Mus musculus: one gene and its partners. The protein of the gene in region 1 interacts with the protein of each later gene in a biochemical or structural test. Links are inferred from orthologs where the notes say so. Each region holds a gene or a part of one and is shown in the gene's direction. Other genes may lie near its edges. The genes, in order: Pdgfra, Pdgfc, Pdgfb and Pdgfa.

What was found.
Region 2: the proteins of Pdgfra (region 1) and Pdgfc form a complex in vitro, tested with the Homo sapiens proteins (2 studies listed by BioGRID and IntAct, with this or other methods). The link is inferred for Mus musculus from reciprocal best matches to the Homo sapiens genes PDGFRA and PDGFC.
Region 3: the proteins of Pdgfra (region 1) and Pdgfb form a complex in vitro, tested with the Homo sapiens proteins (3 studies listed by BioGRID). The link is inferred for Mus musculus from reciprocal best matches to the Homo sapiens genes PDGFRA and PDGFB.
Region 4: the proteins of Pdgfra (region 1) and Pdgfa form a complex in vitro, tested with the Homo sapiens proteins (2 studies listed by BioGRID). The link is inferred for Mus musculus from reciprocal best matches to the Homo sapiens genes PDGFRA and PDGFA.

What each region holds. Positions count from the first base shown.
Region 1 is NC_000071.6:75,175,476-75,181,533, forward strand, and holds part of Pdgfra (platelet-derived growth factor receptor alpha isoform 1 precursor), read left to right. Parts: intron 1-1,191; coding exon 1,192-1,385; exon of another isoform or gene 1,386-1,429; intron 1,430-2,169; coding exon 2,170-2,264; intron 2,265-2,454; coding exon 2,455-2,587; intron 2,588-4,692; coding exon 4,693-4,797; intron 4,798-5,523; coding exon 5,524-5,634; intron 5,635-6,046; coding exon 6,047-6,058. UniProt on the Homo sapiens protein: Tyrosine-protein kinase that acts as a cell-surface receptor for PDGFA, PDGFB and PDGFC and plays an essential role in the regulation of embryonic development, cell proliferation, survival and chemotaxis.
Region 2 is NC_000069.6:81,209,860-81,215,917, forward strand, and holds the end of Pdgfc (platelet-derived growth factor C isoform 1 precursor), read left to right. Parts: intron 1-2,602; coding exon 2,603-2,719; 3' UTR 2,720-4,181; downstream 4,182-6,058. UniProt on the Homo sapiens protein: Growth factor that plays an essential role in the regulation of embryonic development, cell proliferation, cell migration, survival and chemotaxis. Potent mitogen and chemoattractant for cells of mesenchymal origin.
Region 3 is NC_000081.6:79,996,983-80,003,040, reverse strand, and holds part of Pdgfb (platelet-derived growth factor subunit B precursor), read left to right. Parts: intron 1-1,153; coding exon 1,154-1,359; intron 1,360-2,567; coding exon 2,568-2,712; intron 2,713-4,014; exon of another isoform or gene 4,015-4,071; intron 4,072-5,336; coding exon 5,337-5,461; 3' UTR 5,462-5,485; intron 5,486-5,783; 3' UTR 5,784-6,058. UniProt on the Homo sapiens protein: Growth factor that plays an essential role in the regulation of embryonic development, cell proliferation, cell migration, survival and chemotaxis. Potent mitogen for cells of mesenchymal origin.
Region 4 is NC_000071.6:138,976,577-138,982,634, reverse strand, and holds part of Pdgfa (platelet-derived growth factor subunit A isoform 1 precursor), read left to right. Parts: intron 1-3,362; coding exon 3,363-3,489; intron 3,490-3,944; coding exon of another isoform or gene 3,945-4,000; exon of another isoform or gene 4,001-4,013; intron 4,014-5,407; coding exon 5,408-5,418; 3' UTR 5,419-6,058.

The sequences.
Region 1 (6,058 bases):
TGTGACATAATGTCTCACTCACCGTGTAGCCAGTGCTTTGGCTGAAGTCAAACGTACCATTCTCTTGCTTTGCTCTCCCAGGCGCTGGGGTTGCAGGAGTGCACCACCAGCCCTGCCCAGCTCACATTTCTTTCTTTCTTTCTTTTTTTTTAAAGATTTATTTATTTATTTATTTATTTATTTATTTACTTATTTATTATATGTAAGTACACTGTAGCTGTCTTCAGACACTCCACAAGAGAACATCAGATTTCATTACGGATGGTTGTGAGCCACCATGTGGTTGCTGGGATTTGAACTCAGGACCTTCAGAAGAGCAGTCTTAACCACTGAGCTGTCTCACCAGCTCCCAGCTCACATTTCTTATTTCTTACCATAAATGTTGTCTCGGTGGCTAGACTGGCAGTGCAAACAGAGCCGAGAGCCGTGCCCACGTGACTCCTCATACCCACTTGTTCTTTGGAAGCCAGGAGAGGGCACTGGATCCCCTGAAGGTGGAGTAACAGGTGGTTGTGAGCATTTTAGTAGGAATGCTGGGAACCAAATGTGGGCCCTCCATAAGAACAGTATGAGCGCTTCATGGCCGGCCCACCTCTCTAGCCCCTCCTCCACCTTCATAGGCAGGCCCATGAACTGTGCGCCCACACCTTGCTCCACGGCAACTACCTGCTTTCAGAAGGCCTTGAGTGCGTCTCTGCTGAAAGTGCAGCTTGCTATTGCTCTCCTCACTGAGAGCTGTGGAGTGACCTGGGTCCTGGGATTTCTAGGTGTAATGATTTAACCCAGAAGACTACTGCAGCCTTAGGGACCCCTTAGAAGCTCTTCCTGGGGTTGAAGATGAGGAGGGAGGATATTTTCAAAGGAGTGGGAGATTTGCATTGTTGAACGTGTTTGATGCTATCTCCTGAGTTTGCTCACAGGTCCAAGATTTGAGATAAGTAGTTAGATTTTGTGGATTTTATCTGCCTCCTCCACAAACCATTAACTTTGGTTATCCACGTGAGATTACTCCTCTTGAGCAGGTGCAAATGGATTTTAATGTGAACAAGCACCATAAAACGAGAACTCCCAAATCTATGCACCATAAAACAAGGACTGCCCCACCCCCCAAATATATGTAATGTTAGCAATGTGGAAGGGTCGTTGTGACTCCTGGTAATCAGATCTTCATTTGTGTCACATTCTCTCTAGATGTAATAATGACACTTCGTGGACAGTTTTGGCCAGCAATGTCTCAAATATTATCACAGAGCTCCCTCGCCGTGGCAGGAGTACCGTGGAGGGACGAGTGTCCTTCGCCAAAGTGGAAGAGACCATCGCAGTTCGATGCCTGGCAAAGAACAACCTCAGCGTTGTGGCCCGTGAGCTGAAGCTGGTGGCTCCCAGTGAGTTTCTCAGTAGGCAGCACAACTCCAGCTCACCAGCCACGCCCTGTGTTCCTCAGGTGGGACGTGGAATCCCAGACAGGGCTCACAGAGTGGCAAAGGTCCCAAGACAGTTCAGCCCTGTCTGGACTTGAAGCACTGGTCTTCCTGCCAAGCCCCCTTTGTTTGCCCTGACCCAGCTGCGTTTGCAGAGCTGCAGGCAGCTTTGCTTGTCATGTAGAGGATGACTAAGCCTCTGTCATCTGAGCACTGGGGTCTAGGGATAGAAAGTGAGGAAGGGGCTTTTGCCTCACGATCCTCAGAACAGGTGGGTCAGGTTTGAGTCAGAAACAAAGAAAGGAAGGAAGCCGAGAAAGAGAGAGAGAGAGAGAGAGAGACAGAGACAGAGACAGAGACAGAGACAGACCGAGAGACAGACAGACAGACAGACAGACAGAAGGCAAAATTCACCTTTACCATGAAACTTATGAGATGGATATTTCTACAAATAAAGTTGCTCCTAACTTATTGTTGGTCTCCATCGTCTTTATTCAAATTGTCCAAAAGGAGATCCTTGGAGTGTCTTTGGAAAGAAAGTCTTTGTCCCAGGGAAGAATCACATTTAGTTGCAAGGGTACAAGTGATTGAGGGATGATATAGGCCACCCCTAAAGTGACCTGGGATCCCCAACACTTCCCCACCAGCAGGGAGATAGGCCCTAGTTCATTTCTTTCTGCCTCCCGTCTTATTCTGCCGTCCACAAATAACTGACAAAATTCTCTACTGTCTCTGTCTTGCCTTCCAGCTCTGCGATCTGAACTCACAGTGGCGGCCGCAGTGTTGGTGCTGTTGGTGATTGTCATTGTCTCTCTCATCGTCCTGGTGGTCATTTGGAAGCAGGTGAGTCTTTGGAACCATTAGAATGAGAACAACTGTATCCTTCGGTGTTTGGTTCAGAGAAGGGGTTTGGTAATTCCATGGGTGGTGGGTCATGACAGACTTTCCTGGGTCCAGTCACTTTGGTTCTGTAGTGAAGCTCAGTTGCCTTGAACTCTGGGAATTCACCAGTTACCCACCCTGGTCATTACAGAAACCACGGTATGAAATTCGCTGGAGGGTTATCGAGTCAATCAGCCCCGATGGACATGAGTATATCTATGTGGACCCCATGCAGTTGCCTTACGACTCCAGATGGGAATTCCCGAGAGATGGCCTCGTGCTTGGTAAGTTCTTGTGAGGGTAACCTCCCAGGACCCCAATGTTACCTACATAGCTTGCTACGTACAGATCTGGGACAGAATTAGGGACTTGAACGCCACTCACAGAGCTGGATATGGTAGCTCACACTCTTCATCTCAGCACTGGGGAGACTGAAGATGGAGGACTGTGAGTTCAAGACTAGCCTGGGCTACATGGACATCTTCAACATGAGCTCATTGGGGCTGAGAAGGGGAAGTCAAGGGTCAAGAAGTTGTTTAGCCTTTGTAAGGCCCCAGATTCTATCCCCCAAACGAACAAAGTTAGTGCACCGGGTATAGTAGCATACAGTTGGAGGGCATCAGCAGACGGATCCTGAGTTCACTCTCATACTGGGTTTCAGGCCAGCCTAGGCTACATGAGACCCTAGAGCAAAATGCCAAAAGGAAAGAGTCTTTTCTTTTTTTTAATGCACGTGAGTACACTGTAGCTCAGACACACCAGAAGAGGGCATCAGATCCCATTACAGATGGTTGTGAGCCACCATGCCGTTGCTGGGAATTGAACTCAGGACCTCTGGAAGAGCAATCAGTGCTCTTAACGGCTGAGCCATCTGTCTAGCCCATAGAAAGAAAGTCTTAATTGTATCATTGGAATGATTTTGGCCTGACAAAAATATTGCAATGGAAAAAATAAAGTTCATTTTTATAACCGAAGAGGACTAGCTGAGAAGTGAGAGAACTCAGTGGGCTACAGTCAGTCCGTTTTGAGGAGTCATAAAATACTTCTTTAAGTATATGTAATGTAGGATGGAAAAATATACGCTGGTGTTGTACTGCATGCCTCTAATCTCAGAGACGTAGTATTGGGAGTCCAAGGTCATTGTTAACTATATAGAGATTTTGAGACTAGCCTGAGCTATATGAGATCCTGTCTCAAAACCCCCCAAACAACTACCTTCCGTGTGTGTGTGTGTGTGAACACACACACACACACACACACACACACACACACACACACACACTTTAAAGCAAAACATAAAAAGGAAGGGAGCCCTCTGGGGCTATGTCACAATCAAGGCCCTCGCCAGGTGCAGTTTTTGGCTATCGTCTGTCTGTCTGTCTGTCTGTCTGGTTCCAAAGTACAGCAGAGCTAGGCGCTTAACAGTCACTCAAGCTGAACCTGTGCTTCTTTATTGTATTGTCCACCACTGTTTCCCACACAGAGCTTAGGGAAGTTAAAAAGCAGTAAAATAGGCAGGGAGGGTGGGTGGGTGGGTGTGCGCGAGTGCTCGCTCAGAGGTGGGGATGGAGTAGCAGAGCCCCTGCTATCCAGCACGTTGCCTCGTCCTCTTGGCAAGGCCACATTACTGGAAAAGCAGCATCTTTCTAGGCATGGATGGCGGAGGTACATACAGACCGGAAGAGCGGGCATGTCCACTCTCAGTGTCTTTCTGTGCCTGGGCTGCCGTGATCAGACTGGCTTCCTGGAAATGCCTCCCTTAGACCACAGTCTCTTTAAGAGTGGACAACAGCTTTGATTTCTTTGTCTCTACACACAAAGAAGGGCTGTGCTGGCACGTACACCCCCCCATCCCCCCCCCCCCCAAGTCCAGGGACCTTGGTGGCACGTACAGCTTCTGGTCCAGGAACCTTCCTTTATGACAAAGAAGACGAGTCCAAGTGTTCAGTAGTGCACTCCTCAGAATCAGTGGCATTTGGAATACAGACGATTTCCAGTGGTTAAGGATTTGTTAATGCAAAGGTTGCCTCTGTGTGCATCTGAGAGACAGAAGGGTAGAGAACCAGGGGGTTGGGTAGAAGCCACGGAGGCAAGTGCACAGGAGCCCAGGGCCTGGCGGGAGCCCATGTTCACACCAGGGAGGACTGTGCTTTCCCCTCTCTCATCCATGTTTTCCTTTCCATTGCAAATGCCATTTGACAAAAGCAATTACACTAATTCCCTTCCCTGTGGGCTCAATTCTTTTTTTTGGACATGATGACTTGGAGGAATAATTAGGCTTACTCAACACAGGAAAAACACCCACCCAGCTGTACACCCTCGTGCACTGGCCTCTGCCAGTGAGGCCGAGGGGCCGGGAGCTGGCGGTGATGGCTCTGTTTGCCTACAGGTCGGATTTTGGGATCCGGTGCATTTGGGAAAGTGGTCGAAGGTACAGCTTATGGATTAAGCCGGTCCCAACCTGTAATGAAGGTGGCTGTGAAGATGCTCAAACGTAAGTGTTTCTTCCCAGGGATACTTTGAACATGGACATACTAAGTAATTTAAGAGTAAAATCGAATTTAATATTATATTGAGATTCTTTGGACTGTGGGTTGAGACTTAGCCACCCTCCAAAATTAGGTTTCTTTTGTTCTTATCCCTCATTGTTAAAAATCAGATGCTTTCATTTTTGGTAAGAGTTTGTTTTTTTGTTTTTTTGTTTTTAATCTTAAAGACCAGAGACTCTGGGGCTGGGAAATGGCTCAATGGGCAAAGTGCTTTCTGCGAAAACATGGAGATCTGAGCTCTGATCCCCCCAGCATCCATCTAGGAAGGCAGAAGTAGTGGCATTCCCCTGTAGCCCCAACCCCACAGGGAGGCAGGATGAGACAGGTAAATCCTGGAAGCTCACTGGTCAGCTAGGTTACTCAACTCGGCAAGCTCTCAGGTTCACTGAGAGACCCTGACTCAAAATATAAGATGTAGAAACAGTTGAAGAAGATATTCTGATGTCAGCCTCTGGCTTCCATGTGTATTTGTAGACAAGGGCATTCACACACACAGACACACACACACACAGACACACACACACTCAGCAGTCTAGACTGAGGAGACCATCTAGTGCTCTTCCTTTAGACTCTTGGTAAATAAATACTATTGAATCACAAGGTTCCATGTGTTCTTCTGAGAACCAGAAGTAGGGAGTTCAGTTGTACTAAAATCTGGCTTACTTCAACAGCCACAGCCAGGTCTAGTGAAAAGCAGGCTCTCATGTCTGAGCTGAAGATAATGACTCACCTGGGGCCACATTTGAACATTGTGAACTTGCTGGGAGCCTGCACCAAGTCAGGTAGGCGCCTTGTTCTGGGGTTCCTGGGAGTTTCTGGGAATCCTCTTTGTTGTGGAAACTTTTTGTTTTGTTTTGTTTTGGTTTTTCGAGACAGGGTTTCTTTGTGTAGCCCTGGCTGTCCTATAACTCACTTTGTAGACCAGGCTGGCCTTGAACCAAGAAATCCACCTGCCTCTGCCTCCCGAGTGCTGGGATTAAAGGCATGCACCACCACGCCCGGCTTATTGCAGGAACTTTTGAACCAGTCTCAGGCACAGATTGCCCTCTCTGCACCCCCAAACATGCCTCCTGAGGATAAAGCTCATACGTGGAGCTCACTGGGTCCCCCGACTTTTTGGAAGTTCATGGGTTCAGAGAAAGAATGGCTTCTTTCTGTTCTCCATTTTTATACTGGACTGTTTGGTACCCACAGGTCCCATTTACA
Region 2 (6,058 bases), on another chromosome or scaffold:
TATCGTGCTCCATGTTAGCCGTCTTCTTACTCACTGTTTTCCTTTGTGCATGGTCTTTTATGAGGGTGAATTATCAGTGAAGGGGTGAACTTGCACTGAGCAAGAGCAGTGTGATACTCTCGAGCTGACTGACAGAGGCTTGTTGCTTTTTCCACTTTCATACTTGACCCAATGGTTTCTCTCTATCTCTAACTTCATAAATTTAATTAATTGGTTGTTTGATGGTGACAGAAGAAAATGGAGGACAGAAAGAAGGAGCGATAATGAGAATGATATGATCCATTGCCCCTACCTCTCCAAACTAGGCTACACCACTTAAAGTTTCAGACCGTCCCTGGAATAGCTCCATCAGCTGCTAAATGTTCAGTCCACAAGTCTTCAGATGGCATTTCCTATTAAACCATAGCAGAAATTAAGCCAGAGTTTCATGTATTCTAGGTGAACATCATTTCCTACAACTGAGCCCCAATTCAAGCAGTTCTACAATCTCTCTCTCTCTCTCTCTCTCTCTCTCTCTCCCCATTCATTCTTATGTCATACATCCTAATTTCCATATATTTCTATGTAATATTGTCTAGTATCCACAAGCAAATTTTCATTTCCAGTTGCATCTTCTAAATGTTACAACCTTCAGTAGAGTTTAAAAGAAACAATACCCACCTCTTCACTAGAATTTCTTATCCCATTCTTTAAAATTACTGTAGCATGAGTCTTCTGCTCTTTTTTGAAGATGTTCAGAAGATACATATTAGAAGAGTCAGGCAGAGGGAGGCAGAGGTGCCTCCTGAGCCCACTGTACAGTCTGGAGGAACTACACTTCTTATACTGTATTCCTTTGCTGCTGAGTAGAGAAACTGTAGAGATGGAGGTGGGAACTCATGACACTGGCTCTACTGATGCTCTGACTTACCAAAAAACAAAACAAAACAGAACAACAATAACAACAATAAAAACTCCTTCCAGGAAAGGGAAAGAAATATGAAGCAAGATTATGATAAAATAATAACAACATTATCAATTTTATAATTCATGACACCCCTACTGATTTAAAAACTTTGTCATTGGTAATATAAAGTAATATCTATTTATCTAATTAGTTAACCTTACACTAAAGGGATACAAATGCACTGACTTTTGGTCCAAAATTATGAAATGTAATGGGCTGAAAATGTTCCTTTCAAAGTTCAGCATTTCTGATACTTCCTGTAAGACTTTGACGTCTATCTTTCAATAAAGGAAACAAACTGATAATCAATGGTAGTGAGGCTTCATTAAATTGATAGTTGTTATTCAAGTTTTAATAACTTCTCCTTTGGCCTAGGTGCAAATAATAACTATTGCCTTCATTGCGTCTAAATCTATTTACTCCCGTGTAAAGGAAAGCAATAACTACAGATTACATCATAGGATCATTGTGAGTTAAACTATGTAAACACATTATTATTGTGCCTGGTACCCAGTAAGTATTCCAAAAATGTGAGCTAATTAAGCTCCGCTAGAATCACATGTTCCAAAATTATGCATGCATTACCCAGGTTTCCTTTGTAAGTCTTCAAACAAACAGTCATGAGACATGATTTGGGTCCCTGTGGATTAATGATAATTTACAGGAGTAGGAAATTTTCACAGTCACTTCTTGGAGTTCTCTATGTTATAAGGAGAAAGCAGGGAAACTGAACACTTCCATATTATTATGTGCTCTGGGATTTGTTTGTAATCCAAATGACATAAGTTCTAGAATTTATAGTTTCTGTCCTAAAACATATTGACTCTCCAATACTTCAAATACTTTTGATAGATTGCATAATTAGATACTTTTCTCACAATACTATAGAGATCCATTGTTAATTTTGCCATCTATATTTTTTGTCTGAAATCTGAACAACCTAAATTGTGGAAAAAGTTTGTTTAATAGAGGCCTCATTGTTACTGCTGAGCCTCCTTAGCACTGTACAGTAAGACCCAGATGCAGAAACTAAGCTGTGGCAGAGGCCGATGCTTATGGAGTACATCTAATCCATCTCATCAAGTTTATAGAGGACTTGAAGTGTAGCCAAGAAAATTAATGAGTGGCATAATTGAGCAAGCTCAGCTGTGGAATGATCGAGTTTCTTACCACGCTATGCCCATGGTTTGAGTGCATTGCATCAAGTGTAAATATTTGCCCAGTTGAGAAGTGTATGAAAAGAAGAAGCTAAAACAACAGAAAAACAAATTGTCTACCAGTGCTTTCAAAACCCTTGAGGTGAAATTATCTCTCGTATAACATTTAGGAAGCAATTAGCACACAGTGAATCTTTCCGTTTAAGAGCTTTTCTGTGTGCTTTGAGACTTCTGGCATTAAGGCATCCTTTCTTTTATGAAATGACAGTAGTGGATGACTGGGATGTTGAAGCTAGAGGGAAGGACCATGCATACATGTAACTTCACTAAGCAACATGAAAGAGTGTGCATGTTTTTCTTCGGCCCCCAATGTTATTGTTTATTTGTTTTGTACTGTTGCTTTTGTGTTTGTTTTCTGATTTTTGAAATGTTACTTGTCCATGAAGTCAAGCACAGTAAACAATGTTTTTTTAAAGGAGACATATTTATTCCCTTTTAGGTCCTTCAGTTGAGACCAAAAACTGGAGTCAAGGGATTGCATAAGTCACTCACTGATGTGGCTCTGGAACACCACGAGGAATGTGACTGTGTGTGTAGAGGAAACGCAGGAGGGTAACTGCAGCCTTCGTAGCAGCACACGTGAGCACTGGCATTCTGTGTACCCCCACAAGCAACCTTCATCCCCACCAGCGTTGGCCGCAGGGCTCTCAGCTGCTGATGCTGGCTATGGTAAAGATCTTACTCGTCTCCAACCAAATTCTCAGTTGTTTGCTTCAATAGCCTTCCCCTGCAGGACTTCAAGTGTCTTCTAAAAGACCAGAGGCACCAAGAGGAGTCAATCACAAAGCACTGCCTTCTAGAGGAAGCCCAGACAATGGTCTTCTGACCACAGAAACAAATGAAATGAATGTAGATCGCTAGCAAACTCTGGAGTGACAGCATTTCTTTTCCACTGACAGAATGGTGTAGCTTAGTTGTCTTGATATGGGCAAGTGATGTCAGCACAAGAAAATGGTGAAAAACACACACTTGATTGTGAACAATGCAGAAATACTTGGATTTCTCCAACCTGTTTGCATAGATAGACAGATGCTCTGTTTTCTACAAACTCAAAGCTTTTAGAGAGCAGCTATGTTAATAGGAATTAAATGTGCCATGCTGAAAGGAAAGACTGAAGTTTTCAATGCTTGGCAACTTCTCCGCAATTTGGAGGAAAGGTGCGGTCATGGTTTGGAGAAAGCACACCTGCACAGAGGAGTGGCCTTCCCTTCCCTTCCCTCTGAGGTGGCTTCTGTGTTTCATTGTGTATATTTTTATATTCTCCTTTTGACATTATAACTGTTGGCTTTTCTAATCTTGTTAAATATTTCTATTTTTACCAAAGGTATTTAATATTCTTTTTTATGACAACCTAGAGCAATTATTTTTAGCTTGATAATTTTTTTTTCTAAACAAAATTGTTATAGCCAGAAGAACAAAGATGATTGATATAAAAATCTTGTTGCTCTGACAAAAACATATGTATTTCTTCCTTGTATGGTGCTAGAGCTTAGCGTCATCTGCATTTGAAAAGATGGAATGGGGAAGTTTTTAGAATTGGTAGGTCGCAGGGACAGTTTGATAACAACTGTACTATCATCAATTCCCAATTCTGTTCTTAGAGCTACGAACAGAACAGAGCTTGAGTAAATATGGAGCCATTGCTAACCTACCCCTTTCTATGGGAAATAGGAGTATAGCTCAGAGAAGCACGTCCCCAGAAACCTCGACCATTTCTAGGCACAGTGTTCTGGGCTATGCTGCGCTGTATGGACATATCCTATTTATTTCAATACTAGGGTTTTATTACCTTTAAACTCTGCTCCATACACTTGTATTAATACATGGATATTTTTATGTACAGAAGTATATCATTTAAGGAGTTCACTTATTATACTCTTTGGCAATTGCAAAGAAAATCAACATAATACATTGCTTGTAAATGCTTAATCTGTGCCCAAGTTTTGTGGTGACTATTTGAATTAAAATGTATTGAATCATCAAATAAAATAATCTGGCTATTTTGGGGACAAGTGTAAGTGTTCGTCTAAGTGTATGTGGTGTGTGTGGGGGGGGGTGAGGCGGTTGTGGGTATCCATGAGTGTGAACATGTCTGCCTCTTTGGTTCCAAGGAAAGGAAGATAATAAAGTACTCAGTTACCATCTTTTGCATTGTAGAAAAACATCTGCCAGTTCACCCTCCCCTGTCTTCTTCTTTCTAATTTCTTGTTGCAATGAAGTTCTTCCCCCCCCCAGTGGTATTAATAGTAAATTCTGATTAAGTAAACTGTATAGGATCTAAAAGTAAAAGATGCATTGTAAAATGTGTGGTGATATAGTATATGATTAGATTAAGTGAGGGGCAGATTCCATAAGTTCCTATTCCTGTCTCCATTTTCTATGGCAACATCTGCAGTATGTAGTAGCTAGTCTATGGATTACCAGGGTATTTCAAAATATAGTCCTTCCATTCTAGGCACAGATCTCTTGGGGTCTGGTTTCTTCAGCACTTGGCTGTAGGCTTGGCGAAACATCACATGTCCAGAGACAGTCTCTCCAGACTGAGCTTGCAAAGAGTACCCATTGACTGTGACCCTGCTGCTGGCAGCCCTGCCCTACCTCCCACCATGTGAGAAACAAGTACACAAATAAACATGTTCTCTGTCTCATTTCTTTAACCTTTTGCCCTTTTGTCCCAGCGCTATAGAGACCCAGAAATAACTTCACCAAGCATCATGGGAAGTGCAGAATATCGGCAGTTTCCAGGTCTTACTGGCAAAGTAAGAACTGTGAGAGATTACACGGAATTACCTACCAGATGTGTTTACCTTGGTATTTCTAACCATTTCCCTTGTCAGTTTTAAAATATTTATTGTTCTCTTTGGTGGTCAAACGTGATCATAAAAGTATCACTCTGTTCCCTACTGCCAGTGAGTGAGGGTAAGTATGAAGCCTGATTGTCTATGATCAATTACACTCATGATGCTTCCTGTGTTTACCAAAGCCAACAGAAGCTAATGCGTTTACAGCACACGTGACCTCATTTTCTCTTAAGTCTTGGAGGTGTTGACTATATTGACCACCAATTATTTTGTATGTTATATCAGTGGTTCCGACTTCTGTCTCTGTGGCAAAGGCCCATTTTGCATAGTGATGCTTATTAAACTGAAGAATAGCACTTAGTTATATGAAGCAGTATTCATGATTATATTTTTTATTTCTGATTCTCATTGTTCCTTTCTCCTTCTCATCAAATACTCCTTATAGACAATTTGGACGTGTGCGAAAGACAAAACAGGTAGTCTTGCCCTCAGAAAATTAAACTGTATCGATAGATTCTTTTCCCCCCAGTGGTTCGCTTTCTTCTCACATCCGATGTTGAAGCTGAGTGAATTTTCTGAAGCTAAGTCCTTTATAATGAACCATCTCACTTCAGAGAGGCCCGGGCTTTGTTTTCATTTCCTGCTTCCTATGTTATTAGCAGACATCACTGAGTGCCTTTTCCTCCCTCACATTTGTGACTACCACACCCCCCAGTTTCTGTAACTGTCTCCTTTCTGGCCCTGCCTCAGAGCTCTCTCCATTCCAGTAAAACAGTCTCTGTTTCCCCAGCCTAATGAGCCTTTGGCCTCACTGCTGTTTGATCTGTCCTCCACACCACTAAGAGCATGGCCCTTCAGCAAAGCTAATGGTGATGGGTAGAGTTTCCCCAGTAGAACTCTACAGAATTCTGTTTTAATCCTCGTATGGCACACCAAATCCCTCCTAAGCTCACTGTTTACCACTTTCCGTTCATTTTACACCATCAAATCTGGCACAGCTGTAGAGAATATTTGTGGGTTTTGAAAAATACCAGCATTCCTTCACATGTATGCTAATGTGTGCTACATTCTCTTAGAAGAACAGCTCCTACACA
Region 3 (6,058 bases), on another chromosome or scaffold:
ACCTCCGGTTCTATACTCACTACATCTCTGCAGCCTTGGAATAGATGTGGCTAACCCCACTCCACAGGCCTGGAAACCAGGGTGGAGAAACTGGAATGGAAGGACTTACTTGTTGAAATTGAAACCAAGGTCTTCTCAGGCGGGGGGGCGGGGGTGGGGGTGGGGGGAGTCCCCTCTGTCCACTACGGCCCACAGCTCCACTGTGGCCTAATGCAGAACCCAGCAGGTTCTACAGATTGCTCCTTAGCAGAGACCAGCCAAGTACATCTGTCAGTCCTAGTGAAGACTTCCAGGGTGAAGCAGGTGGCCACGTACCCACGTACAGTTTCCAAGTCACTGGAGATGTGGCTGGAAGAGCCTCTAGGTCTCCAGGCCTACTTCTCCACCTGTGAGCCATTCCCTGTACGTGTCTGAGCACTTGCTGACCCAATAGCTCTGTTGTTAATCCCATTTCGTAGGTTAGGCTCTGAAGGAAAGGGCCACATACGAACAGACCAGTGGGGCTAGAGAGATGGCTCAGAAGATGGCTGCTTTTCCAGAGGCCTGGGTTCTGTTTCCATGGCAGCACACGACTGTCTGTAACTCCTCTTCCACGTATTTTGACACATGCAGGCAAAACACCAATGTACTTAAAACATTTCAAGATAAGTAAAAAAAAAAAAAAAAAAAAGACTATATTAGTGCACCCAGGTGTGGTGGCGCACGCCTTTAATCCCAGCACTTAGGAGGCAGAGGCAGGCGGATTTCTGAGCTTGAGGCCAGCCTGGTCTACAGAGTAAGTTCCAGGACAGCCAGGGCTACACAGAGAAACCCTGTTTGGAATGAAACAAAAACAAAACAAAAAACAAACAAAAACAAACAATACAAGACCAATCTAAGCCAGGAAAGTAACAGTGCAGAAGGACTCAGGACAATCGCACAGCTGTGTGACTGAACAATTGGGAGCTAAATCCTAAACATTTACAAGGTCACACTGGATGATCTAACCTGATGTTGGCTGTGTTTCTCGGGGGTAGATCTCGCTGTCCTTGTTTTCGATTGGGGTCAACTGAGGCTCAGGGTAGTTCGGCCACCTACCCAAATTCGGGCCTGTCTTTGGATGGGGGAGGTTCCAAAGAAGTCGGTCTGTTCCTGACAGGCCTCTTCCCTCCAGGGTCCCTGGCAGCAGCAGAGCCTGCTGTAATCGCCGAGTGCAAGACGCGCACAGAGGTGTTCCAGATCTCTCGGAACCTCATCGATCGCACCAACGCCAACTTCCTGGTGTGGCCGCCCTGTGTGGAGGTGCAGCGCTGCTCCGGCTGCTGCAATAACCGCAATGTGCAATGCCGGGCCTCGCAGGTGCAGATGCGGCCGGTCCAGGTGCGCAAAATCCGCCCCACCCTGGGTCTGGCCCCGCCCCAGCGGCTGAACAGCTTCTGTGGGTTGCAGAACTTGGCTGGTTCTTCATGGCTCCTTCCAGAGAAGGATGCTTGGAGGATGCTTCTGGGACGCTTTCTCCAAGATGTCTCAAACCGTAGTCACTGAAAGTTAGATGGAGTCCAGGATGTGACTTGGTTGAGCTGCTAAGTAATGGACCAATGTCACCTGCTCTATAGGGTCACAGTCTCACAGTGCCCCTGTCTTTAAGCTGCCCAGGTCCCCTCAATTCTTTATCATACTCAGGGGCCCCTACATTTTGGGACTTCAATGGTTTCTTTGGCAAGCTTTGTGCAAGCTTAGCAAAGGTGGCACAGAGTGTCCACTGTAGGAATCAGGGGTCCCATTGGCAAATGGTCCAGCTCTGTGGCTAGCTCGGTCCTTTTTGGAGAGATGCTATTCTGAGGCAGTGACCCAGAGGCCCAGGAGGCACGGCTGTCTTCTAACTCAGGTGGACAGGTCTCTGTACTCTGAATCAGCCTTCCTACTTCAGCTTCCCCTGGGCACATAGCACAAAGCTCAAAACCAGCCCACTCAGTGCACTGGCTGTGTGGCCATGCTGTCTTTCCCTGCCCTCTGCCTGTGGCCTCTGCCCAGTCTCCCGCCTGTCTTCCATTCATGGCCTGTCTCCATGACCCAGAGTACAAATGACACGCCATGCTTCCCCACCCACTGCCACGGTATCTTCTGTCCCCAGCTTTAGGGATGGACACCTGACAGCTGCCTCCCCCCTTGCAGCCTCTCTTCTAGATAAGGCCTCTCGCACTTCCTATCAGATAACTATCTCCCTGTTCTGCTCTGGTCCCTGGCCTTGGCCGGTGCTCCAGGAATGGCGACCCACAGGACTCAGGCTCCACCCGGAAATGCCTTTCTCCCACTCTGGGGGGTCAGGGAGGCGGGGGGGGGGGGTTGCTACAGCAAAGCCAGAGGCCAGGTCAGCTAGGTTGAAGGGCTTGTTTTGATGGAAAAGCTCTGAGAGGGACAGAGGGAAAGGCCTGACTATTGTTTTGGTTCAGAGCTGTCACTCTGCAGACGAGCCTGGGTTTTGGCTTTCGAGGAAAGACTCCAGCACAGGACACTTGCCAGGCGCGTGAGGCCGCTCCTGCACTGATGGCTTCTACAGAGAAGTTTTGCTCATTCTTGTCCTCCAGGTGAGAAAGATTGAGATTGTGCGAAAGAAGCCCATCTTCAAGAAGGCCACAGTGACCTTGGAGGACCACCTCGCCTGCAAGTGTGAGACAGTAGTGACCCCTCGGCCTGTGACTAGAAGTCCTGGGACATCCAGGGAGCAGCGAGGTAAGCTGCCTTCCCAGGGGCTGCTCCACGTGGCTCAACCCAAGCCTCTTTCCCTTATAACAGCTGGGAAAAGGACGGGTCTCTAAATAGGGGTCAGGAGGCTAGGGAGAGCGCTCGGTGGGTAGAGTGTTTGCTGAGCACGCATGCAGACCTGAGTCTGAAACACCAGCATCCATATAAAAACCAAGGCATGATAGCTGTGCCTGTCACCCTGGTACTGAGAAGGTGGAGATGGGTGAATCCCAGGGGACCAGTCTAGCTGTTGGTTAGCTCCGGGTTAAGTAAGAGTCCCTGTCTCAGAAAACAATATAGGAAGACTTGATGTCAACCTCTGACTTCATACACACATGCACACACACGCACATACACACTGAGAGAGAGAGAGAGAGAGAGAGAGAGAGATCTAAACATATACCACACAGAAAAGACTTAAATGGAGAGCAAATACATTATTTCTGGTTAAATTTATTTGAGACTTTTGATCTCACTGAGAACAATCTAGATTCTTCTTGGCCCTAAATGAGGTTGCAGCGCCTGGCCTCACTACCAACCAGCCCCCTTCACTCACAACATCTCCTGGAGATACACAAGTAAAGGCTGAGCATCCATACAGCTGGGATGTGGAGAGTGGGTCTGACGTTCACGCATCCACCAGAGGAGTGCATGTCTGATTCTGCAAGGGTCAGGCAGTTCGGTTTGAGTTGGAAACATCTCAGAGGCTCCTTTCTCTGTGTAGCGGAAGTACCCGAAGTCTAAAGATGCTCAGATTTCCGGTCACATAGTCCAACCTCAGCCTGGCAGTCTGGCTAACTTATTTATTTTTATTTTCTGTGCATTGGTGTTTTGCCTGCATGTATGTCTGTGTGAGGGTGTCAGCTCTTGGAGTTGTAGACAACTGGGAGCTGCCCTGTGGGTGCTGGGAATTGAACTTGGGTCCTCTGGAAGAGCAGCCAATGCTCTTCACCTTCTGAGCCACCTCTCCAGCCCCCACGCAGGAAGAACTCTTTAAGTGTTAGAACCGGAAAGTTAAGAATATTGCGGGACTGGCCTCCAGGTTCATCTCTAGTAGAGCCTAGGCCAGTGCTGGTGTTTTGGAATTCTTAGGCTCAAATCTGTGTCATTTGTGAGTTGTGTGAATTGGATCAGGCTTAGCGCAGCCCAGCCTCCTGCACATGCCTTTTGGGGCAAAAGCTCTCTGGGGGGTGGTTTCCATGCCCCCTCTGGGTGTCATTCCCCCCCCCCCCCCGAGAATCTCAGCTCCCCCAGATCTCTACCCTGCAAGGAAAACTTCGTTCATCTCAGACTGGGTCTCTTGAGGTAGCCTGAAAGGAAGGGGGGCTACCTCAAGAGAGCCAGTCTGAGATGAACAGACAGGTACCAACCTCACCGGCTGGAGGCCAGGGACTCTCCAGTGTCTCCCAGGAAGTGCTGTCCCCTGCCTGTCTGACCTGGCTTCTCAGAACCCAGGAGGAAGAGCAGTTAGAGTCGGTCTGGTCCAGGATTCCCAGGAACTGTCAGTTCAGCCAGGTGCTGGCAGCATGAAGCACAGATAGATTGCAGGATTTCAAACACAGCTCTCTGCCTCAGTTTCCCCCAACACTGTAGGATGAATAAGACCAACCATGGAAATAAAGGAGTGTGTAGTGGCGCCAGGGACATTGCAGGTGCTCACTGGGGTTCCTGCTTGCTTTATGCGCTGTCTCAACTGTAGGAGGTCACTGCTGATTTTCAGAGTGGTTAAGTGCCTTGCCCCATGGCACACAGTATCAAGAAGAGCCCAGGTTTGGACCTGGGCTGACTCCTTGACTAAGTTGCCAGCCCAGCCCTCCATTCTGCTTCTCTGAGTGCCCAGGAATTTGAACAACAGGCACAGCTCCAAAGAAAGTCTGGTGGCCTCCTCATCTTGTGGCCAGAGGAGCCAGAGGTTGGCGGTATAGGTCTCAGTAGGAGAGATGGGAGGCAGAGGGTCACAGGGTGACAGGCCACCACTCACGGTGTATTGTGGCTGACATTCACCCTGCAGTTCTGTGCAAGAATGAGGCTCCTTGGAGAGCTGACTAGATTTTTTCTGCCGTCTGGCTGTGGCTGGAGGCAGCAGCTACACTGTGGTTCAAGAGCCCCAGTCCCCACATGACCTCTCCAGGCATGTAGTGAGACACGGTGCTTGAAGCACAAAGGAGAGCTGGGCCAGTCCTCTGAAGATGGGTGGGTACCCAGAGCCAATAGGACTTCCTGTTGGGTAGAGGGATCCAGGGCCAGGCCACCTTCAGGGAGTGGGAAAATCCATCTCTGAGTAGAGATGAGGACTTGGGGGCAGGGGGCAGGCACAAAACAGAGTTTCCTGGGTCCGGCACTGCTTGGCCGGCATGCTGCCTTGTAATCCGTTCTCCTTCCCATGAGGTGGGCTGTCCACCTGCTTCACTCCCAGAGAGAGGGGAAGGCATAGAAAGACTCAGTCACGTCCCCAGAGCTGGAGAGCTGTGGGGATTAACTTTGACCTGGTGAAGTCTGTCCTCTCCCTCAGCCATACCCAAGGCTCCCTCCCAGCAGGCACCAAGGTACAAGGAAAACACTCCATTGCTATCAGATGCTGACAAACACTACTTCTTCTTCTTCTCGAGCAGCCAAGACGCCTCAAGCTCGGGTGACCATTCGGACGGTGAGAATCCGCCGGCCCCCCAAAGGCAAGCACCGAAAGTTTAAGCACACCCATGACAAGGCGGCCCTGAAGGAGACCCTCGGAGCCTAGGGGCGTCGGCAAGAGTGTGGGCAGGTGAGGAGCCAACCAGAAAAAACAAGCCTCAGCTACTCCCTGGCTTTCAGCTACTCCCTGGCTGTGACTTAGACAGGCTCCGTGAGAACCAGCAGAGGCATTTGCTCCTGCCTAGCTGAGCCTCAACCTCTCTGAAACAGGGTGCCTGTCTCACTCAAATTTCCCATAGCTCCTCCGTCTCAGACTTGGGACCTGCTGGAAATCAGCATGGTGGCAGGAGCCCTAGCCCCTTGCCTTGGTATGGGGGCCACGGGGACCCTTGAGCTACCTCTGACGCTGTATCCTTCTCTGCCCACAGGGTTATTTAATATGGTATTTGCTGTATTGCCCCCATGGGGTCCTTGGAGTGATAATGTTGTTCCCCTCGTCCGTCTGTCTCGATGCCTGATTCGGACGGCCAATGGTGCTTCCCTCACCCCGTGTGCCCGGCCACCTCCACCAGCAGCGATTCCTCAGCCCGCCCTGCAGCTCCAGATGCAAAGGACTCCACTCCAGGCTGCAGGCTTCTCTTGACTCCAAGAACCTGGAACAAGTGTGCAGGAGCCTTGCCGGGGGACGTGGACTGTGGACTGG
Region 4 (6,058 bases), about 64 Mb from region 1:
GTCACTGGATGTCCATGGGGCACTTTGGGAGCCATAACCTAATGTTCTCTTGGTCAAGTTAAAGGATTGTTGTGGGAAGGTCCCAGGTCTCTGTGCTGTGAGACCTTGGGGGCTCATTCCTTTTATGTCTAGCTGAGTAGGAAGCAGAGGAGTGAGGGGCCTGGGCAAGCTGTCCACTTGCCAGCCCCTGGTTCCTCATCTAGTAGAATAGGCTCCAGTTGGGTCCATGCAGCTGACCTGCAGGAGGGACTGTGCCCTGTGCTCAGCTCAATCAGCACTGGCTTTTATCATAGACATCACTGTCCTGAGGCTTGGAGTAGAAAGACAACCCCCCCACCCCTCCTACCCCTCCTCCGTGCAGAGGAGTGATTGGATAATGGCCTGGCCAGGTGATCCTCTGCGTTAAACTTGAGGGAGCTCTGGAATGCATGGGGCACAAGTGGGAAAATGTAATATTCATAACATGTTCTGTGTGTGTGTGTGTGTGTGTGTGTGTGTGTGTGTGTGTGCGCGTGCGTGCGGGGGGGGGGGGGGTGTAGGGGTGGTTGTAGCCATTTCCTGGCCAGACAGAGGTGGCAGAGCGGCTGGAATCCTTGCATTCCCAAGGCAGGTGCTACTATAAACCGCTGTTTGTTTCTGTCTGATAACCATGGGCCTGTCTGGAAGAATGGGCCTCCCCAGCTGGAGCGGCTCATGAGTTGCTCCTCATGCAGGGGACCCCTAGGCTCAGTGGAGAAGGTTGTACTTGCCCTGCAGGCAGGGTTTGGGTCAGGCTGCAGGGCTGTAGTTAAAACCAAGCCAAGTCCCCTTCTGACAGCCTGTGCTCAGGGCCGCGTGAGGCTACCTGGTTCCCACCACAGAGGCTGTGGTGGAAGAGGAGAGCACCCACCACTGGTGTCTGTGGCCGTGGTCTCTTTCAGGCTTCTTCTTCTTTTTTTTTTTTTTTTTAAATCTAGGCAGTCTAGGAGTTTGCTGGATCACCAAAGGCAATAGACATCTTTGGAGGTTGGGGACTGTGGCATCTCTGCCTACAGCTCCTCTTGGGACTGGCTGATGTTTTTCTTTTGGAAGAAGTTCTCCCTCCCTGACCTACCTCAGGGCTCTTGAAGGGGAGAGACAGGGGTTGCCCTTCTGTTCCCTGGGGTGGAGTGTGAGACCCTGAGCTTAGGGACCGGGGATTGCATTGCTTCTGGGGACATGGTGACTTCCTGAACAGTGTTTGGGGGCTAATTTTAGTAAGGAGCCTTGTGTGAATATTGATTTTGTTGAAGCTAGCTCCTCCTATAGGGTGGCTGTGTCCCATTTCTAGGTGATTTTTTACTGTTGTGTCTTTTGTTTGTTTTGGGGTACATGGTCTTATAGCTGGGGGCTGGCGTGGAACTCATATTGTAGACAAGGCTGGACTTGAGGCAAATCCTCCAGCCTCAGCCTACCCCACCATACCCACTTGACCTCTGGCTGCCGCTGCAGAGAAAACTTTATTCTTTCATGAGCTACCTGGGTGGGTGTGACCACTGTCCCTATTTCACAGGTCAGGTTGGAGGTATCTGGATAGCATAGCCCGACCCAAATGCCCAGGTTGGCCCAGCACTCCACCAAAACATTTTGAGCAAGACCCCTGGGCAGAAGCCTGCCACATGCCTACAGCTCTCAGGGGAAGACCCTCCTTGGCTTTCACGGCCCCAAGTTGCTGTCCCTCCCGCTTTCTGACGTAGTGAAACCTCCTGGGCTGGCCCTTGACCCCTGACCCCTGGCCCCACGCCCTCCATGCTGAGCTCATACTTGGCAGACTCTGTTCACACCTGGGGCACCCATTCTACTTCCCACGCCCGCCAGGCACCCGGCACCCTTTGCACCCATGTTAACCATTAATGTAGCCAAGTCGGTAGCCACAGCAGAGTCTGGCTGAGTCTGGTCCCCAGGACTCTGAAAGCTGCCTGGCCTGGTACTCTGGCGGATGGCTGACCATAGCTTCCAAGGGTCCTCTTGGTGCCTGAGCTTTAATACCCTTGGGAGAACACTGGGGAGTGTTCTCCTGCCCAAGCTCCCCCGGTCACTCTGGGTGGGCCACGCACTGTTTCCAGCATTGAACGTCACAAGGCTGCCACTGCTAGGTGCTCTAAGCCACCCGGAGTGGGTTCAGTACTGCTGTAGCCTCAGTTTCCCTAGTGTATGGCGGGATGTGAGGTAGAGACCCCTTAGGGCTGCTCTGGGAGTCGGACACAGATTTGGCACTGGTTGTATGCAGTTCTGCAGTGCTGGGAGGGTGGCTGTTCTCTGACACTTATTCCAGGTGGCATCGAGGTTGGAACAAGCCGCCAGCCACGCTCTCCGGGTCACCTCAGGAGAGGGCTGGTTGTGCCTGATTTTTCTTTTCTATCTGTGGAGGTGACAATCCTGCCTCCTCACTCACTGGCTGGCCAGGAGGGTTAAATGAGTCCTGGTGTCTGGATTCTGAGGGAGGTGACCTAGAGGGTTCCCTAATGCCACGTCATGCTGGAATGGAGCAGGGTGCATGGCCCCAAGCTGCCTCCTGGTGCAGCAGTTGGTGGGGGCTGGAGTGGGTTAAGGAACTACTGGATGAGGGGGGAGGGAGTGTGTGGAGTTGCATTCCTCTGTTGGGAGCTGTGTGCACGACTCACAGTCTGTGGGGGTGGAGTTGGCACACTCACGACCCGAGTGTTGCGAGGATGAGGCTGTAGTGCTCCGCATCTGGCCAGGACGATGGGAGCCTTTGCCTGGGGTTCTAGAATCCGGTAGAAACTTTCTGTACCACCTGGAGGTGTGTTGCTGGGTTGGCGTGTCTCTCAGAGACCACAAGTTGGGAGGGTTCCCTCCATCAGCAAGCTTTGTAGCCACACTGCTGTTCCTAGCCAAGACTCTGGGTTCTTACTAACAAAGGGAGTAGTAGTATGTTCCACCATCCTACGTCCAGCTCACCCTTTCTTGGCTGACGCCCTTCAGATCTTTTGGGCAATTAGGAGTCTTAAGTTCCTAGTTCTCTTGCCTCCACGTCCTGAGCCCTGGGATTACAGGCTTCTGCCGCCACATTCATTCAGTTTATATGATGCTGGGGATGGAACTCAGGGCTTTGTGACTGCTGAGGAAGTGCTCTGGTAGCTGAGCCACATCCCTTGCTGTGTAGTCCAGGCTGACCTCGAGCTTCTGGCTGCTGGGACAGAAGCTGCCGGGACGGCAGCTGTAGGCCTAGTATCGTTGGGGTTTATTTCGAATGAAAGCAGACCTGAGCTCAAGGGAAGATGCCTTGAAGAGAGTTAGGTATCTGAGTCCTGGTTTGGGGTGCCCCAAGCAGGTCTCCTTTGGGTACATGGTTTTGACACTGGCTTTTGTTTCCTCGGCAGGTGGCCAAAGTGGAGTATGTCAGGAAGAAGCCAAAATTGAAAGAGGTCCAGGTGAGGTTAGAGGAACACCTGGAGTGTGCATGTGCGACCTCCAACCTGAACCCAGACCATCGGGAGGAGGAGACAGGTGAGTGGCCAACACTGTCTGATTTGCTGTGTGTGGGTCCTGAGGGATATGGGATGAGTGATCTGTCACATCTGACCCAGCCAAGCCCATCACAGCGATGGGAAAAGTTGCTTGAGTAAACAAGTCAGCAGGCCTGGATTTGCCAGCTGTCCACACTAGCTTGCAGAGTGACAGTCAGGGAAACTGCCTGCAGGTGCCACCTCCAGGTGGAACAGTAGACACTGGATTCGGGCTGTACCCTGCTGCCCAGGGTCTTGCCCTTCAGTCCTGCCCAGCACACCTGTATATGCCAACATTCAGGCAGCCCAGGTGCAGAGATAGACCCGGAAGTGTCTATGCACCAGGGTGGATCAGGCTTTCTCTCTGAAAGATAAACACCTTCAGTATTTATTACTGTGGCTTCCCACCCCAGGCCCTCCGGAGGCCACTCACCTCCCCTGCCCTTTCCTTGACAGGAAGGCGTAGGGAATCAGGTAAAAAGCGGAAAAGGAAAAGGTTAAAACCCACCTAAGGCGGCCGACCAGGTAGGCCCTGCCCGCCGGGTGAGCTGGGGACTCCCTCGCACAGGGCTGGGACACAATCAAGACAGGCGAATCCCGCTTCCGTGGGCCCTGATTGGCTCAAGGTTCTGTGTGCTTCTGGGACTGCTCGGCCGGGTCTCCTTGCAGCTACAGCTTTGCCCTTCTCTTGGTCGTTGATCAGGCACCCGAGTGCCCCATGGCGGGAAGGGTGGGTGGGGGCTTCTGGTGGCTCTGGTGGAGTTATCTGGGGAGAGACTGCCCACTGCGCTGACTGGCGGAAGGACTGAGACGTTTACCGAGGAGGAGGAGGAGGCTGAGTGGATCTGAAGAGTTAAGTGGCCAGGGCAGTCAGTCAGTCATCTTTTGTAACCAGCAGTGACCTCAGGAAAGGAGGAAGAGGTTAATGATCCGTGTAAGACCAGATGGGGTGGTCTTTTGTACTGTGGGTTCTGTCCTTAAAATTACCGCCAGGACCCATGGAGGCTGCTCCAGGGGTGGAAGAGTCAGGCAGGTAAAGAAGGGCTGTAGAGCCTCTTAGGAATGCTTGTTGCAAACCCACCCTGTGATGGCTGCTTTTCCCCGGAAGTGTAGGGAATGTAGGTGGGGCATATCATTTCCCAGACCTGTCCTGAGTGTCAGCTTGTCTGGCTCAGAGGGCTGGAGCCTGTCTGGCTGAGCCCTTCCTCCTGGCACATGCGACTTAGGGGCATCCAAGACAAACAGTTATTCTGGGCAGGAGAGTCCTCAGAGATAGGGTGTCTGAGAACCCTGGCTCCCACACGAGGGTGCCTGGGGATGCCTGTCTTGGGCATTTGTCTCCTTGGGCAGGTCCTTGGGGTTGTTCCATGTGGCTCTGACAGGGACTGCTGCTGACAGGGACCCCTTCAAGGGAGAGGCAGGTGTTTCCGTGACTGCCTGTGTCCAGCTGGCCACCTGGCATCATTGGTTCATTATGAAACTAGGAGGTGTAGCTTTGTGCTAGTATTTGATCACCAGCACCAGAACAGCCACACAAAATCATTGCTCTGATTAGTCACAGAGAGCCACATGCAGGGTGGCTGGTGGTATCTGTTCTGATACTTCATGGCCCAAACTGCCAACCTCCAACAAGGTACAGGCCTTAGGCTGGAAGAAAGAAACATAGGGGGGAGGACAAAAAGAACTTTCTATGCCTCAGTTTCTCCATCTGTGCAATGGGAGCATGGGTTCTTCTATGAAATGCAGCCAGTCTAGTACCAGTTCTTAAATTGGGAAGATTTGATTAAACTGTGGAAATTTTGATTTTTTTTTTTTTAAATTACGTATATCAACTTCGTATCTTAAGACAAGTTGGGGCTAAGTGGCCCTGCTGTTTTCTATCTGTGGTCATAGCCTCAACTCTTCCTGCCTTCCCACAGATGTGAGGTGAGATGAGCCGGCCGCCCTCTCCCGGGACACGGATGTGCGTGGCGTGTGACATTCCTGAACATACTATGTATGGTGCTTCATTGCCAATGTGCGTGCGGTCTTTGTTCTCCTCCGTGAAAAACTGTGTCCGAGGACAAAGAGACAGTGTCCGTTTGTTCAGTGTGACATCAAAGCAAGTACTGTAGCACTCAGAGAGACAGTGAGAAAGCTTCCTTGTCACAGAGAGCGAAAACAAAACCACAAAAAAGAAAAAAAAAACAAAAAAAAAATTAAAAACAAAAAAACAAAAAAAACAAAAACAAACCAAACCACACCCAACAACAAAAAAAAACCCCACCAGAAGAAACAAAAAGACTGAAGTGGGCGACGGAAGGGCCGCCCTGCAGGACTGACCCTCGAGAGGTGGCTGATGTTGGCCACCACCCTGGATTCTGCCCGTGGGCACAGGTGCTTTTCGCCAAGGACGCCTGGAGCCCGCCTGGGATGCTGCCTGCCAGCTCCGTGGGAACTGAACAGGTGGGAGATGCCCACGGCCTGGAAGCCACCACCTCGCTTGAGTCTGCCTAGGACCTTCCTGATGGCCTTACGTGGAATTTCTTTATTTTCGTTTTCCTTTCCTTCTTTCTCTCTCTTTTTTTACA